Linked DNA regions of Arabidopsis thaliana. The protein of the gene in region 1 interacts with the protein of each later gene in a pairwise test. Each region holds a gene or a part of one and is shown in the gene's direction. Other genes may lie near its edges.

Region 1 (5,354 bases):
CCAGTAGAAATTCCCAGCCGGCAGGGAATACTAGACCGTGGATATTTAAGCAGTTTCAACTTTCCACTACAATGAGCTCTAAATTAAGATGACCATAGACAAATAACCAAACACAAATTAGGGTTATTTCCCTTACCAAGATCTTCTGCCTTCTTCAGTTTCTCATTTATCATTTCTTGAGTGCGAGGATCCGGTGGAGGTAATTCGGAAGATGGTGGTTGAGCTGGAACGGGCTGTGGCAAGGATGCTCTATCTTTGTTGAAGGCTTCCAACAGCAACACCGCCTACATGAAAAAACAAGACAAAGGACTTTCTAGTTGACATAGGTAAAGTAAAAAAGCAAAAATGCTCATTAAGCCAATAGCGAAAGCAAATTCACCTGTTGGTCAGCTCTCTTGGTCCTCATCTCTTCGACTAACTCAAGAGCTCTAATCTTAAGATCCATTTTGCCTTCAAGATCTGCAAAGTGACATCAGAACTTTGAAAGACTACCAATAACCAGTCAAGAATTATTTGCAAAAACAAAGCCGAAACAGCAAAGTAATATTTGCTGGGCAATATTCTTTTAATTTTTACCGTGGATATCTGCTTCCTTCATCTTCTCTTTGATTTTCTCCGATAACTCGAGAATTTCAGGCGACTGCAGTTAAACAATGTAATGATGATAAACAAACCTGAGTGTTGCAAACTTAGAAGACACATAAACCAAATTTCAAAATCAAATAATCACCTGAGTGACTTCAGAGACAGAAATGGCAATGGCAGCTTTGGCGTCCTCTTCTTGAAGACGCTTAAGGGCCCTACCAATCTTCCTATCACACTCAACGATAAGCCTGTCTATGGCATCTTCCAATTCCCTGTCGTAGTTATCAACACCTTTTGCCCTTGCTTCTCGGTATCTAAGGGCGAGTTAAAGCAACACAGGAGTGGAAAGAGAACAACATGCCACTGTAGAATCAAACTAAACATAACAATGACACCAACTTTTTTTTGTAACTAATCTGCATAGGCTAGTCTTATATGCACTATCCATTCATTTAACGTATTATCTCAAGCAAAAACCAGGAAGAAGAGCAAAAACATGAGCAAAAAACAGATATCAACCCAATTAGTAAGTATGTTCAAATGTCAAATTCAATTGAAAGAGGCCATGGAAGTAGGCGGCCTTCATGGTAACCGTATAAGGTAAATACTAAACTTACTGTAAACAAAGGATACTCTTTCCGAAGCTGCAAAGAGTGCACCTTTGGGCATGGTCCCATATCCATTTTCTGATAACAACAGAAATGTAAAAGGAGCATCAGTTATTAGGCAAACCAAAGTAGCCATGCACTAAATTACTAGACAGATACTCATAGAAAACAGTGAAGCGATACAAGTTTCAGAATTCAGATATACTCTATAAGATACAAAACTGCACACTGTATCAAGTAACCAAATACCAGTTATCAATTCGAGCTAAAGCAGAAACACAAAAGATTAGCTCAAAAGTGAAATTAGGGTTTTTTTATTCAAAGAGACAACTAAGTAATAAACTGAAAAAATATAAAGGTAAGCACCGTCAATTGGAAGAGATCGTGAGGGCAGAGACCAGACAAGTAAAGACGACACACATCACGGTCGTAGTATTTGCGATTCACCTCCTGAACGTCGCCGTTTCGGTTAGCTCCCATGAGCACATCAAGCTGCTTCCTTATAGCGTCCATAGTCGTTCTCTCTCTCTCTCTCTCTCTCTCTCTCTCTCTCTCTCTCTCTCTCTCTCTCTCTTTCCTCGTCCTCTCTGCAAACAGAGATTTGGGGTTTTTTGATCGAAAGACAACACAATGATAGGAACAATGGCATTCGGATGTAATAAGATTTTGGTATATAAGATTAATTGCATACAGGTCCCTATATATTAATAATTTATGTTCTACTCCTACATTTATTTCTGTCAACATATTTTGCCCACGGGTAAGAAGACTTGGTCTCTCGCTGGTTGCTTCAATCCGAGAAAATGCTGACTCTACTCTTCTTCTCTCTCGGAGCGCTTCTTCTTATCGTTCTGCTCTTCAAATTTGCATTCGCCGATGGTAATAACTCTGACGATTTCTAATGCAATGTTTAACTTCTTTTATGTATAAAAGGATTGATCTTTGCTTTGTGTAGGAGATTTTACCTTGATTTCGAAGAAGCATGTGAAGCGTGAGGCCATACAAGGCAAGGTACTGGATTGATAGAGGAAAAAATGGAATTTAGTGGGATTGATTTGAGTTTTCGATTATTTCAATCTCTGAGCATTAATTCAGATTTCTTGGTTTTGCTCAGGTCGTCTGGATCACAGGGGCTAGCCGTGGAATTGGTAACGAATGTTTTCTTAGGATTATATATCTGTGAAGAGATAACTTTTATTGTGGCTGCTTACTCTTCATGTTTATGATTGGATTCAGGTGAAATTCTTGCTAAACAGTTTGCAAGTTTAGATGCCAAGCTTATTCTCTCTGCTAGGAATAAAGCTGAACTGGATCGGGTTAAGAGTGAGCTTAAAGGTACTTTCTTACACAATGAATCAAAGAAAGCTCTCCAGTTTACAATTGTGAGCTTTTTGTTGACACGTGATGTAACTGACTCTGTATTCTTCTTCTAGGTAAATTTGCACCAGAAGATGTCAAGGTTTTGCCTTTAGATTTAGCTAGCGGCGAAGAGTCACTCAAACATGTTGTAGAGCAAGCAGTGTCGCTTTTCCCTGGAGCTGGTGTTGATTATTTGGTTCACAATGCTGCCTTTGAGCGTCCGGTAAGTAATTTCCTTGCTAAAGTTTTGTATCTACTCAATAGAGAGTCTTAGGCTTTAGATATGTTTACTCAAGCGGGTGTCATCATCATACTCTTTTCCTTGCAGAAATCCAAGGCATCGGATGCAAGTGAGGAAACTCTCAAGGTACTAAAATTAATTGCGTAAAATTCGTAGGCAAGATTATTAATTCTTGAGGAAACTCTCAAGGTATTTTTTGTTTCTATTGCCATAGTTAGCCTGTAACAATTAGGACATGGGTGATTTTGATATTTCTTTCTGACATATGGTTAATCTATGATTTTGTGTGCAGACTACATTCGATGTTAATGTCTTTGGGACGATATCTCTGACAAAGTTGGTAGCTCCTCATATGCTAAAACAAGGAGGGGGTCATTTTGTTGTGGTACGTGGAGACTACTGGGGGATAGTTTTTGTTAATTTTGTGGAATTATATTTAAGGATTGAGCTTCATATCATAGTTTATATATGTGGATAACATTGCGTTTTATATGTTAGTTAATTGTTGTAATCACAGTATTGAATCTTGACTATATATGTTAAATCTGAGGATACTAGGGTATATAGACAATTTAAGGTTTCGTTCAGGTTAGTATTTACCATAGCTTGAATGTTATGGAACTCAGGCTATGATCATGCACTAATTGTCCATTTTATTGGGTTAAATGTCATGAGTAATAATTCACGTCAATTATGCTCAGATAAGCAGTGCTGCAGGAAAGGTACCATCACCTGGACAGGCTATATATTCTGCTTCAAAACATGCTCTTCATGGCTACTTCCACAGCTTGCGTTCTGAGGTATGTTAGAAGTAAAGAAACTGTTGTGCTTGCTAATTAGTTGGCAGAAATTGACTTATTGAAATCACAAGTGAAAATTTACAGCTACTCCTGAGTTTTAATAAGCTTCATATGTTGATTCGCTATGTTTTTTCATTTACATTTTATTGTTGAAAATAGCACAATCAATTACAAAAACTAACAGTTAGTTTACAATCATCTGTGCATGGTTTCAGTTCTGTCAGAAGGGAATCAAGGTTACCGTCGTTTGTCCTGGTCCAATAGAAACCTGGAATGGTACAGGAACATCAACTTCGGAAGACAGCAAGTCTCCTGAGGTTGGTACTTATTATGATTGTGATTATTTGATTAAGTTGTGAGCAGCAAGTACTTCTCCCATTGCTTGATTCATTATTTCCTTGTAGATACACGTAGAATCATATTCTTTGTCAACATTTGGAGATTCTAACTTCAGCTCCTTGCTCAACTTGATTTCTCTCAAGCATCTATTCTCTTTGCTACGCAGAAACGTGTGTCATCTGAACGATGTGCAGAGCTGACTATAATCGCTGCATCTCATAACTTGAAGGAAGCTTGGATTTCATATCAGGTACATCTTTATAAATATTGCATATGTGATACTCGGTTTAGATGTCTGATATATAAGTTTCTTTTTCACTGTTTTTCAGCCAGTACTACTCGTGATGTATCTAGTGCAGTACATGCCTTCCCTTGGCTTCTGGCTCATGGACAAGGTACTTTGCTCATCCATTAATTTTCTTCAAAAGTTACCGGTATGAGATGTCGTTTTGTTTCCATTATAATGTGACAAACACATCTGACAAAGAGAAAACAGGGGCAGTTATTACTCTGTTGAAAGCAGTCTTTTGATTAAAATGAACGGCTTGCAGGTTGGAGGAAAGCGTGTGGAGGTCGCGGAAAAGAAAGGCAACACATACTCGTGGGATTTACTGTTCGGGAAGAAGACTAAAACAAACTGAAGCTGATTCTCTAGAAGATACACATAGATGTGGTTGGTTGAGCCTTAGTCCGTAAATGTGGTTGGTGTTTGTTTGCTAGTTTGATTGTTAAATAACTACCAAAGCGTCGAAAAATGTTTTGTTGCCTTGTGAGGTGCTCAATAAGTAAGAAAAGATGTGATCTTCTGTGATTTAGCTACTCGTACACACAAACAAACACAAATTTAACATCATCCGAGTGTAGAGAAATCAAAACCCTTCAAATTGAGTAGTTTCTCTGCGCACAAAGGTTTTCAGATGCAGCTACGAGGTAACCCCAGCTGTGTATTCATCCAACAGGCTTTTGATCCCACTGGACTTCAGTTCCTACAAAAGAAGAACCGAAAAGAAAGCTATATGATGCATACATTGAAGACTAACGAAAGCTTCTGGAGTTTGACTTGCTGCCAGAAACTCACAGACAATACTCCTGCCAAAGCTGCAGAAGGCTGATTAGCTGGTTTTGCAACACGAATAGCTACAACACCGTTCATTCTTTCCTTCTCTTCAGAATAAAAGTTTCGGTAAACTTGAACACCTGCAGATAGAACATCATTTCAGGTTAGAACAAAGTCCACATAGCAAAAGAGACGCTTTCCAAACGTTCTATGTTATGGTAAAGATCTTCAAACCTTCTTCTATACTTTCAACTCCAGGAAGAACTTTGGCAAGACCCTCCACTTTCAGCATTTCTGAGAATGAAGTATAACGGTGAACGTCCTGCCCTCATCAAAATGGTTAGTAACAAGAGGTATAGTGTTTG
Region 2 (6,118 bases), 5.8 Mb from region 1:
TCCATCTCACTCTCACCTAACAATCTCTAAATAGTTACCCACCACAAGGACTGCTATTTATAATTGATTTATTATAATAGAGGTAAAAGATTTTAGAGTTAATTAACCAAATAATACATATGGATTGGTTTTCCTAAGATGCATTCAAAAGAAGCAAGGCACATGACTTGGGAGAAGATAGTGAAGGCACGGTGACGTTTTTTGAGGGTTCGTTTTATATAACTTTTTTCATTTTTTGAGGCAATTTCTTTTCTGTATGTTTAATATGTTTTATTTTTGTGAGATTATTATTTGAATAATAAAGGGGTAATTTATATAGCACAAGAATTGCAACCCTCTCAACTCTTTGTTTTGATTTAGATGAGTAATGGATTTGAATAAGTGACTGAAAGATTGGGTGAAACTTGAAAACTAATCAATTTTCTTTCTAAAGAAAAACTAAAAAAACATGATGAATAGTTTATAAAAAGCACAAGCACAAGAAAGGAAATAATCAGGTAAAATGTTACTATCTTCTTGCATCCTAACTAATTCCAGTAACTTGTATCTATTGACATTCCCAAATGGTTTTTTAACCGGTTTGATATATATTAATTTTTAAGACATATTCGACAATTCTTTAACAACCTTGAAGAAGGCGGAGTCACTTATTGAATCCATTATTCATCTCAATCAATATAAGGAAGTGGGTTTTGTTTACAATAATTGCCATTTTTCGATTGGATTTTGTTTACAAAACCCAATACTTGAAAAGACATTTTTCAATGACCTTAGATTGGATTCAATGTTGTGAAAAAAAAAAAAAAATGGATTCAATGTACAATTTTTTTCTAAAAATAAGTGAAAAGACAAATGAGTATTGAGATAACAAAAGTTCTTGCCAAGGTTGTCTAGTAATTTCATAACCTATGGTAGTTGTCAAACAAACTAATTTATAGTATCATATTAATTATAATAAATGTATAATCTTTAATTGAAACAAAACCTAATTTTACTCCCAAATTAATAGAAAACCTTCAAAGGATGGAAATTGTTGGACATGTATTTACATGAAACCAAACATGCAATATCAGTAAACCAACTTCATAGTCTATACTAAATTACGTACCGATTGGTAGATAGAAATAATGATAACTAAACTGATCTTAACGATTGGTATTGGAGAGAGATTTTCAAATCAAGAGTTAGTAAGAAAAAGAAAAAAAGAACTTAGAGATGTGGATCAAATATTTTGAAAATGATGAAATCTTATTAAAAATTGAAATTGATATACGACCTGTCCAGATACAATGAAGTTGTTAGGTTACAACATCAGCATGTTTCAAAAAGGGTCAAGCAGGTACATCCAATCAATTTATATAACGTAAATCCTGATTTTCAGAGCAATATTATTTGTATCTTTTATAACCTCCCTAGTTAATTAGTAATAAAATATTTAATTTAGTAGTATCACAAGATGGAGCTTTAAAAGTTATCTTTAATTCCCACTTTTGAAAATGATAACGTCCATAAATACATTTCAAAACGTTTTTATTCTCCCAATAAGATATCAAAAAGACAATATCAACAACAAAAAAGACAAGAAAAAAAGACAAAAAATAATGATAGATAAAATACAAAAGCAAAAGAAAACGTATAGTATTGCTTAGAGAAAGAACAAACATATTGTGAATTAAAAAGAAAAAAAAAGAGGGACAAAAGTAGAAAGACGTGGCAAAAAGCAAACTAAATTTCGACCAATCCACATCTAAAATCTAACCTTCTTCATCAGATGGAAGGAAGCTACTTCACCACCCGCAGATTCTGCCATGTGGCTTCTCTCTCTTCTACAGCTCACTTCTTCTCTCTCTGTCTCTCTCTAACTACATTGAAACCAAACCAGAGTGCTTCAATGTCATTGCTGTGATTCTCTTTAAGTCCAGACATAACTCCCATATCTTCTTCTTCTGTCTTTTTTTATTTCTTTGAACCGGAGAAGAAGAAGAAGAAGGAGAAGGATATATGGGAGGCTGTACTTCCAAACCTTCCTCCTCCGTCAAACCTAATCCTTACGCACCCAAAGACGCGGTTCTCCAAAATGACGATTCTACCCCTGCTCATCCCGGGAAATCACCGGTTCGTTCATCTCCCGCCGTAAAGGCCTCTCCTTTTTTCCCTTTTTACACGCCTAGTCCCGCCCGGCACCGCCGTAACAAGAGCCGCGACGGCGGAGGAGGAGAGAGTAAGAGCGTTACCAGCACTCCTCTCCGTCAGCTCGCGCGTGCTTTCCACCCTCCGTCACCGGCGAGACATATACGGGATGTTCTGCGGCGGAGGAAGGAGAAGAAGGAGGCTGCTCTGCCGGCGGCGAGGCAGCAGAAGGAGGAGGAGGAGAGGGAAGAGGTAGGGCTGGATAAAAGATTTGGGTTTTCCAAGGAGTTACAGAGTAGGATTGAGCTAGGGGAAGAGATTGGGAGAGGGCATTTTGGGTATACTTGCTCTGCTAAGTTCAAGAAAGGAGAGCTCAAAGATCAGGAGGTTGCTGTTAAAGTCATCCCAAAATCTAAGGTCATTTTTACAGCTTTACTTTTTCCAAATTCTCAAGTTTCCATCTTAAGTTTTCTGCTTCAATTGGCTCAAGTGCTTCATCATTGTAGTGATAGCTATATCTGACAAATTGAAGATTCTTTGTGTGTCTTGTCTGATTTGTTTAGTAGATGTTAAACTGTTTCAAGGTAGAAGAACAAACCATCATAGTCTCCTTTTGCTTCATGATGAACCTGTAATTTGATCATTACGGTCTCTTGAGATGTTTCTGTTCTTCTCTACGAGCTTACTGTCCTCTTGTTTGAGCCATCTTTTTGAAAAAATTGATAGCGTATGTAGACTTTCACGCATAGAAATTAATACAAAAACAAGTAATAGCGAACACAGATGAGGTTGAAGTTTGTCAATGACACTTATGTTTCATCCATGTTTTTCAATAGCCAAGTTTTCAATGGTTGTAGATTAGCATTGCTGACTTTTCTGTGAACATTTCTAAACGTTTTAAATTGGTCAATAAATTGGAACATGGACATTTGTGCTTTTGTCAATTGTCATTAAGCAATTGAAATTTTGATGGTCCTTATTTGATGACTAAGAAAGTTAATCATGTAATCGAGTTAGTTGGTGTAATATACAGATAGGTTTAGTGTTAGCTTAATCCACAATAGACTGTTTCTCATCAGCTTTGGTTTGGCAGATGACATCTGCAATATCTATAGAGGATGTGAGAAGAGAAGTGAAAATACTGCGGGCGTTATCTGGACATCAAAATTTGGTACAATTCTATGATGCGTTCGAGGACAATGCCAACGTTTACATCGTTATGGAGTAAGACAATCATGTGCTTATATATTCCTGTGTCATGTTGAATCTACTAGGAGAGCTATCAGATTCTTATTTTCCCGACTTGGCTTACTTCAAAATGTTTAGCTGTGAATAAACATTTACTTTCTTTCAACTTTCAGGTTATGTGGAGGTGGTGAACTTCTTGACAGGATACTAGCAAGGTCTGCTTTTAAAGATTGTTATGACATTTGTTAACTTATGGTCAGAGATCCTTCTTAGAGATGTTCTATTGGCTGTCTAACTATTTCAAATTTACTTCTCTTACAGGGGAGGAAAATACTCTGAAGATGATGCAAAAGCAGTGCTTATACAGATCCTTAACGTCGTAGCTTTCTGTCATCTCCAAGGAGTTGTTCATCGAGATCTAAAACCAGAGGTGAACCGCACTTTTTGTCTTTGCTTTTTCCTTTCAAAACCCAAAAGAAATATTGTCTTAGTTGAATACCAATCTCACATTTGAAACACTTTCATGTTTCAGAACTTCTTGTACACTTCCAAGGAGGAGAATTCTATGTTGAAAGTCATAGATTTTGGCTTATCGGACTTTGTCAGACCAGACGAAAGACTAAATGATATAGTGGGAAGTGCATATTACGTAGCCCCTGAAGTTCTACACAGATCTTATACCACAGAAGCGGATGTATGGAGCATAGGAGTCATAGCATACATTCTCCTATGTGGAAGCCGTCCTTTTTGGGCAAGAACTGAATCAGGAATTTTCAGAGCAGTTCTAAAAGCTGATCCCAGTTTTGATGAACCTCCTTGGCCTTCGTTATCCTTTGAGGCAAAAGATTTTGTTAAGAGATTATTGTACAAGGACCCTCGGAAAAGAATGACTGCATCTCAAGCTTTGAGTCAGTAATCTCTAAAATATCCACATCTTTCTATATTTATCTTCTGTTTCTAGCTTTTCATGAATCACCAGTTGAAGTTACTCCACGTTTTTTTCCGGTTTTTACAGTGCATCCTTGGATCGCGGGTTATAAGAAAATAGATATCCCATTTGATATTCTGATCTTCAAGCAGATCAAAGCATACTTGAGATCTTCGTCTTTGCGCAAAGCTGCTTTGATGGTACATTTTGCTTCTAACCTTTTTTACTGTTTCCAAACAACATTTAAGGATGTGTTTGATATTTATTACCTTTGTATCTAGTTTGCTAACTCTTTTATTCTCTCCAGGCTCTGTCCAAGACATTAACTACCGATGAACTTCTTTATCTGAAAGCGCAGTTTGCACACTTAGCACCCAACAAAAATGGCCTCATCACTTTAGATAGCATCAGACTGGTATGTGCCTTCTCTTCCTCTCTGTCTCTCTCTGGTAGAAAGCAAACAGCTCAAAGCTAGATTTATTTCTGTTGGACAGGCACTTGCGACAAATGCAACAGAAGCAATGAAGGAATCACGGATCCCGGACTTTCTTGCATTGGTATTGTCTCCTTTCTGTTCTTGTCCTTTTGCTTAATCTGTTTAAGATACAATCCAAGGTTGGTTAACGAAAGTTTGGTGTTGGGAAATGACAGTTAAATGGACTTCAATACAAAGGGATGGATTTTGAAGAGTTTTGTGCAGCTTCCATTAGCGTTCATCAGCATGAGTCTCTTGATTGTTGGGAGCAGAGCATTCGTCATGCTTATGAGCTATTTGAAATGAATGGAAACCGAGTTATCGTCATCGAAGAACTCGCTTCTGTAAGTTTATAAGAAATTCGACACTTGCTTCTGTCATGCTTAACAATTTATTCAGCTAATTCCTAAACGAAGGGAACATAAATGTTTTGTAGGAACTTGGTGTTGGATCATCCATCCCGGTTCATACCATTCTAAATGACTGGATAAGACATACTGACGGGAAGCTGAGTTTCTTGGGTTTTGTCAAACTGCTGCACGGTGTCTCGACTCGACAATCTTTAGCGAAAACGCGATGAGGAAAGTGACTCGGTGTTATAACGGATTCGAAAGAGGAAGAACATACAACTGCAAGAAGCAAATGGGTGGATTGGGGTTGGGAATTGGAATTTTTTTCAGGACCCATTCCTATGTTTATAGTGTTAGAAAAAGAATGCTAAGTTCCGACAAAGAAAGAGAGTATCCAGAAAAATCCGACAGGCCTGGAGAGTTGTATAATAAGATGATAATCCACAGTCGTGTTCTTCCAAATCATGGAAGACAGATATTAAGAACATCCCTTTCTCTTTTCATTTGGCTGTCTCCATTTTTTCCAGGAAAAAGATTCAGATTCCATTCACAATGTGCCACAAAGCAAATCATAAAAACCCATTCCTAAGTCACAAAACTTACAGTAACAGAGAGCTATTAATATTTCAAATTCGGAAAAACTTGCTTCTCAAGATTCCATAATCCATATCAATAGAAGTCATACATTTCATTCTCAAAAGGTGTTACAGAACAAACCATAAACCCATTCCTAAGTTACAAAACTGACAGTTGGGATGGCTAGGCAACAAAGTCAGCTTTTTAACATTTCTGAATCCTCAAACTTTCTTCTCAAGAGGATTGAATCTACAATGCTATCTAAAGTTCTAAACACTTGAAAGCATCTGCTTCTTACATGATAACAAAGATAGAAAGCTCCATTTTTTGACCAAGATCTGTTCATGTCTTTTACCTCGAGGAGAGTCTCTGGTGTAAATCTTCTGCCAATGCTTGCCTCAAACTCTCCCCGTAATAGTAAAACTGCCTCTCACTCTCCAAAACTCTTGCAGGCGTTCCAGCTTCATCTGG
Region 3 (4,803 bases), 570 kb from region 1:
GCGGCGTTTGGGTCTGAGGAGCTTGGTAAGGAGGCGGGTTTGATGGAGGTGGTTGAGGATGACTAGGCGGAGGACAATACGGCTCTTGTTGAGAAGAAAACTGCGTAGGTAGCTGAGGTGGTAGTTGCGAGGAAGGTGGCTGGGAAGGAGCAGCAGTGGAAGATGGTGGCTGTGGGAAAGAAGTAAGAGGAAACTGCTGCATAGGGACTGGAGCGGGCGATTGAGCAGTGGGATCAACGTGTAAAGAGTGTGTTTTGGCATGCTGGTTGGATACCTGATGCTTTGAAAGCTGAGCTTCGAGAATCTCTTGTTTGTCCTTCAATAGTTGCACACCACTCTGCACCTGCACACCATTCGCATAAAGAAGGAACTGAAGTATCAACAGAAAGTACTATAAGCCTGGTTCAAGAAAAGACATGTTCATAAATGAGAAAATTTCTGTATAAAAAAGATCAATAGTTGCCAGGAAAAGCTATAAATTCTAGTTTCGAAAAGCAATCAGCAAAGTTACCTCTACAAGGATATTTTTAAGCTGTCTCATTTTCCCATCAGTGCTGCCGTGACTATTGTCAACAGAAACTTTGAGATCATCCACCAGGTTCTCGAGGTTGTGGGTTCTGGTCTCCAGCTGTGAAAGACGTGCACTAACACCTTCCATTACATGAAGCAAGGTATCGGTATGTTTCTTCATTGTCCTATCTATAATCTCGGACATAATAGTCGTGTTAAACACATTTTGACCCTTGTCAGGAACCAACTTGGAAGGTTCAATAGAATCGAGAGATCCAAAATTCTGGCCGAATAAAAAAAAACAAATCAATCAGAAATAGACAAGTCCTCTTATAGGCTTATGATGTAGAATCATGTACAAAAAAAAAAAAGAGAGGAAGATTCGAGAAGTAGTAGTAAGTACAGTGTTAGGCGAAGTAGTGGAAACGGGTTTATAATCAGAGGCGGACCAATTAACCCTAGTCGTGGATCCGGCGAGATCTAAAGCCGAGTGAGACAATCGTGCGGCGGTGGTGGGACGTATGGGATGGAAATCATAGCTAGGAACGATCACTTCTTTCTTAGAGTCCAATCCATTATCGCCGATCACCTGCTTCTTCTGGTGATCATCGCCGTCATGATTGTTCATCAGATCGATGAAATCAGTGGAAGGTAGAGATGAAGAAGAAGATAGATCCATTATCTGCTTATCCATAAACTGACAAGTATTCATCGATCCACCCGACAATTTCTCCGACTCCCGAATTTCTTCTTTTCTTTCTAAAACCCCTCAGATCGATTTTTATTTTTTTATTTTTATTTTATTTATGTCATAAAATTGACCAAGTTGCTCATGTCGACGTACCTTCTGATTGGCGTAGAAGGTTATGGACCCTAAATGGGCCGAAATGTATTTAGAATTCAGTTTCCATCCTCTCCGTTTAAAGCCCAAATTGTGATCAATGACCTGTACCAACACTGACATAATAAGTAAATGGTATAATCAATAATGTGATCAAAGCAATGGGACCAACCTTATTTGTAATAGTATGAAATAACACGGAAAGAAAAGGGTGGACTCAGGAGCATACAATACAACATCCACATGTTTCAACGCGGCCCCTTTCATATCATCCATACAATTCTCCCCTGACATTTTCAAATTCCACACTAAAAATCAATTGGTGTTGTGGTCAGTAATTTGTCATGTTCGTACGTAAACTTTATTTTAAATAATTATTTATAGCGTTACCAACTTTTTGATATTATTATAAACGAAGAAAACCACGGCCCCTTTGTAAAGAAATGAGTGACCAAGTATGTCAAATCATTTCCATAACATTATTTACAGAACACACATGGAATGGAGAACATGAGAAGAAACAATACCGGCAAATACCACTGGCTCTTATGAGGAAAGATAAATAAAATCGAGCCAATGTTATATTGAAAAAAATGTCGGCATCGGCATGTGAGTTATTTTTATCATACTCAAAAACATTCAGATAGTAGAACGAGAGAAAAGTCACATAATAAAGACAACTCTTCTAAATAATACTAATATCAAGTTTGCAGTATATCCAAAAACAAAACAAACTTTTTTCTTCTTACATGAAAATGAGGAGGTAGACTCATGTAACATAACTCTTACCAATAGAGGAAGAAGAAAAAGTTAGCAAGAGTCGGTTACTTGTGAGAAATTCCAACAAATGCCGGAGGATTTATGCACATCTTGGAGCATCTGATAAGAGGAAAAAATTATGTTCGCTCTCACATTTCTAAATCCAAATCCAAGACTTCCATCTCCATTGTTCCTTGCCAAGTCTACTCCTGAATCAGCGTTGAGCAGAAGAAGCAGAGCTTTTTCATCTTCTAACTCTTATCCTTGGAGACCGAACCTTAGATTTAATGGCTTCAAGCTCAAGTCAGCTACAGTTCCGGAGAATGTGGAAGGAGGAGATTTGGAATCTGGAAGTTTGGTTAAAGGGTTGAAGCTAGGAGGCATGTTTGGAGTTTGGTACCTTCTCAATATCTACTACAACATTTTCAACAAACAGGTTCCTTCTTTGCTTCATTTAATTAAACAGTCCATTTCAATGCAAGAAGCAGTACTCGAACCTATTATCAGTCTTCATACAAGTATGAAACTTGTTCATTCATCGATCCAGGTACTTAGGGTTTATCCATATCCAGCGACTGTAACAGCATTTCAATTAGGGTGTGGAACGTTGATGATTGCTATAATGTGGCTCCTTAAACTCCATCCACGCCCCAAATTTTCTCCTTCTCAGGTAAATCAAATATTGATTCCGTCAAACCCTAAAAACAGAGAGATTCATTCAATTGTAATCCTCTCCAGTTTACGGTGATCGTACAACTAGCAGTAGCTCACACGTTAGGGAACTTGTTAACAAATGTGAGCTTAGGAAGAGTAAATGTCTCTTTCACCCACACTATCAAAGCAATGGAGCCTTTCTTCACCGTCTTGCTTTCTGTTCTCTTGCTCGGTGAGGTAAGCAAAACAAAGATACGCTCTGTTTCAGACTTAATCTATAACCTTAGATTATACAAGAGAGTTATATTTTCAGACATAATCTTTGAAATTTTGATTAATGTCCAGTGGCCGAGTCTGTGGATTGTTTGTTCGTTGTTACCTATTGTCGCTGGAGTCTCTTTAGCATCTTTCACAGAAGCTTCTTTCAATTGGTATGAACAACAAGAACAAGAACAAAAAAAATAGTATTCTTGATAAACTTTTGATGAAGTTTTAATTGATTTGATTAATTCATGGTATTGGGATAAACCAGGATTGGTTTCTGCAGTGCAATGGCTTCTAATGTGACGAATCAATCACGCAATGTCCTCAGTAAAAAATTCATGGTTGGAAAGGTAAAAGAGTTTGAATATAAGTTATCCTTATGATCTCAAGAAAGAAACTAGTAATCGAAATCTATTAATGTTTGTATATTGAAACAGGACGCTTTGGACAACATCAACCTTTTCTCTATAATAACCATTATCTCCTTTATCTTACTGGTTCCTTTAGCAATCCTCATCGATGGGTTCAAGGTTACTCCTTCGCATTTACAAGTAGCAGTAAGTGGAAAAGCATAAACCGATATAGCTAGATGATCTAAAAGAGAAAGAACTAATGTGTGTTTGTATGTGGTTGCTTGACAGACAAGCCAGGGTTTGTCGGTAAAAGAGTTTTGCATCATGTCTCTACTTGCTGGTGTTTGCTTGCATAGCTACCAACAGGTTGGTCCGTCTAGTTCCTCCGTTTCAGAAAAACTGTACTGAATTTTGTAAAGTCGGTTAGTGTTAGGCTTCTAATCAACACATAAAAATTGGGGTTGTTGTTGTAGGTATCGTATATGATATTGGAGATGGTGTCTCCAGTAACACACTCTGTAGGGAACTGCGTGAAGCGTGTGGTGGTTATTACATCATCCATTCTTTTCTTCAAAACTCCAGTCTCACCTCTTAACTCTATAGGTAAACAACTACTAGTAGTATATATTAGTAAAGGATTTGTTACACTTGTTCATTTTATTGAAGCAATATATAATCACTTGTTAAATAAACAGGTACCGCGACTGCACTAGCTGGAGTATATTTGTACAGCAGAGCCAAACGAGTCCAAGTCAAACCAAATCCAAAAATGTCTTGAATTTTGTATATAGAAGCTCTTAGTTTATTATTTATGCGAAAAATGTTGATATTTTTGTTCATCCATGTCGTTTTTACATGACACTATTAACTTTTGTTAAATTCAACTAATCTCATTAAATAATTCTATTCTTTACATGGAAATTATATAATGGGCCTAGGAATAAAATTGGAGTGGCCCAAAAGGGCCCAAAAGAAGGAGGCGGCTCATTAAGGTGCAGATATTTTTGTTGCGACGATGGATGGTTTTATAAACCTAACTAACAGAGACGGTCTAAAGTTGGACATCCTTGCTTTTGGTCTAACTTTCTCTCTCTTGCTTCTACGCTTCTTCTTGTGGCGTAGATTGTTATAGAGAGGGAAACCAAAAAAGGGAATCTCAAAAGCTCGAGTTCACAGATTTGACCCGAGTCTTTAATCCAATCTGCTGGTTCGTTTTCCACATTCAAACTCGACTCTTGAATATCAAATCAGGTACGCGTTTATCTGTTGACAAAATTCCTCAATCCTGACTTAGATTCCTAGAATTTGGTATTTAAGCTCTCTGTTTCAATTTCTAGTTTCTCTCTAAGATTGCGTCGGTTTGGTCGTGTTTAATTCTGATTTCTGATCGAATCCTTTTATTACGTGTTAGTTTTTTTTTTT

Evidence for each region.
Region 2: the proteins of AT3G03330 (region 1) and AT3G19100 interact in a protein complementation assay, tested with the Arabidopsis thaliana proteins (one large-scale study listed by BioGRID).
Region 3: the proteins of AT3G03330 (region 1) and PPT2 interact in a protein complementation assay, tested with the Arabidopsis thaliana proteins (one large-scale study listed by BioGRID).

What each region holds. Positions count from the first base shown.
Region 1 is NC_003074.8:782,791-788,144, reverse strand, and holds AT3G03330 (NAD(P)-binding Rossmann-fold superfamily protein), read left to right. Parts: upstream 1-1,940; 5' UTR 1,941-1,996; coding exon 1,997-2,072; intron 2,073-2,148; coding exon 2,149-2,204; intron 2,205-2,307; coding exon 2,308-2,341; intron 2,342-2,429; coding exon 2,430-2,528; intron 2,529-2,626; coding exon 2,627-2,775; intron 2,776-2,880; coding exon 2,881-2,919; intron 2,920-3,085; coding exon 3,086-3,178; intron 3,179-3,494; coding exon 3,495-3,593; intron 3,594-3,808; coding exon 3,809-3,910; intron 3,911-4,098; coding exon 4,099-4,182; intron 4,183-4,261; coding exon 4,262-4,327; intron 4,328-4,483; coding exon 4,484-4,573; 3' UTR 4,574-4,813; downstream 4,814-5,354. Other genes in the region: UNE6 (LUC7 related protein), read right to left, coding at 137-284, 380-459, 577-640, 731-899, 1,219-1,271, 1,560-1,940; AT3G03320 (RNA-binding ASCH domain protein), read right to left, coding at 4,856-4,918, 5,011-5,129, 5,224-5,311.
Region 2 is NC_003074.8:6,603,680-6,609,797, forward strand, and holds AT3G19100 (Protein kinase superfamily protein), read left to right. Parts: upstream 1-1,616; 5' UTR 1,617-2,001; coding exon 2,002-2,547; intron 2,548-3,223; coding exon 3,224-3,354; intron 3,355-3,491; coding exon 3,492-3,533; intron 3,534-3,639; coding exon 3,640-3,748; intron 3,749-3,850; coding exon 3,851-4,226; intron 4,227-4,333; coding exon 4,334-4,446; intron 4,447-4,553; coding exon 4,554-4,661; intron 4,662-4,740; coding exon 4,741-4,803; intron 4,804-4,897; coding exon 4,898-5,065; intron 5,066-5,157; coding exon 5,158-5,301; 3' UTR 5,302-5,616; downstream 5,617-6,118. Other genes in the region: LARP6c (RNA-binding protein), read left to right, coding at 1-30; AT3G19120 (PIF / Ping-Pong family of plant transposase), read right to left, coding at 5,999-6,118.
Region 3 is NC_003074.8:216,303-221,105, reverse strand, and holds PPT2 (phosphoenolpyruvate (pep)/phosphate translocator 2), read left to right. Parts: upstream 1-1,969; 5' UTR 1,970-2,249; coding exon 2,250-2,546; intron 2,547-2,657; coding exon 2,658-2,780; intron 2,781-2,848; coding exon 2,849-3,001; intron 3,002-3,109; coding exon 3,110-3,195; intron 3,196-3,296; coding exon 3,297-3,378; intron 3,379-3,465; coding exon 3,466-3,585; intron 3,586-3,669; coding exon 3,670-3,747; intron 3,748-3,854; coding exon 3,855-3,984; intron 3,985-4,076; coding exon 4,077-4,159; 3' UTR 4,160-4,301; downstream 4,302-4,803. Other genes in the region: AT3G01560 (proline-rich receptor-like kinase, putative (DUF1421)), read right to left, coding at 1-343, 512-793, 914-1,222. UniProt on the Arabidopsis thaliana protein: Phosphoenolpyruvate/phosphate translocator that transports phosphoenolpyruvate (PEP), 2-phosphoglycerate and 3-phosphoglycerate.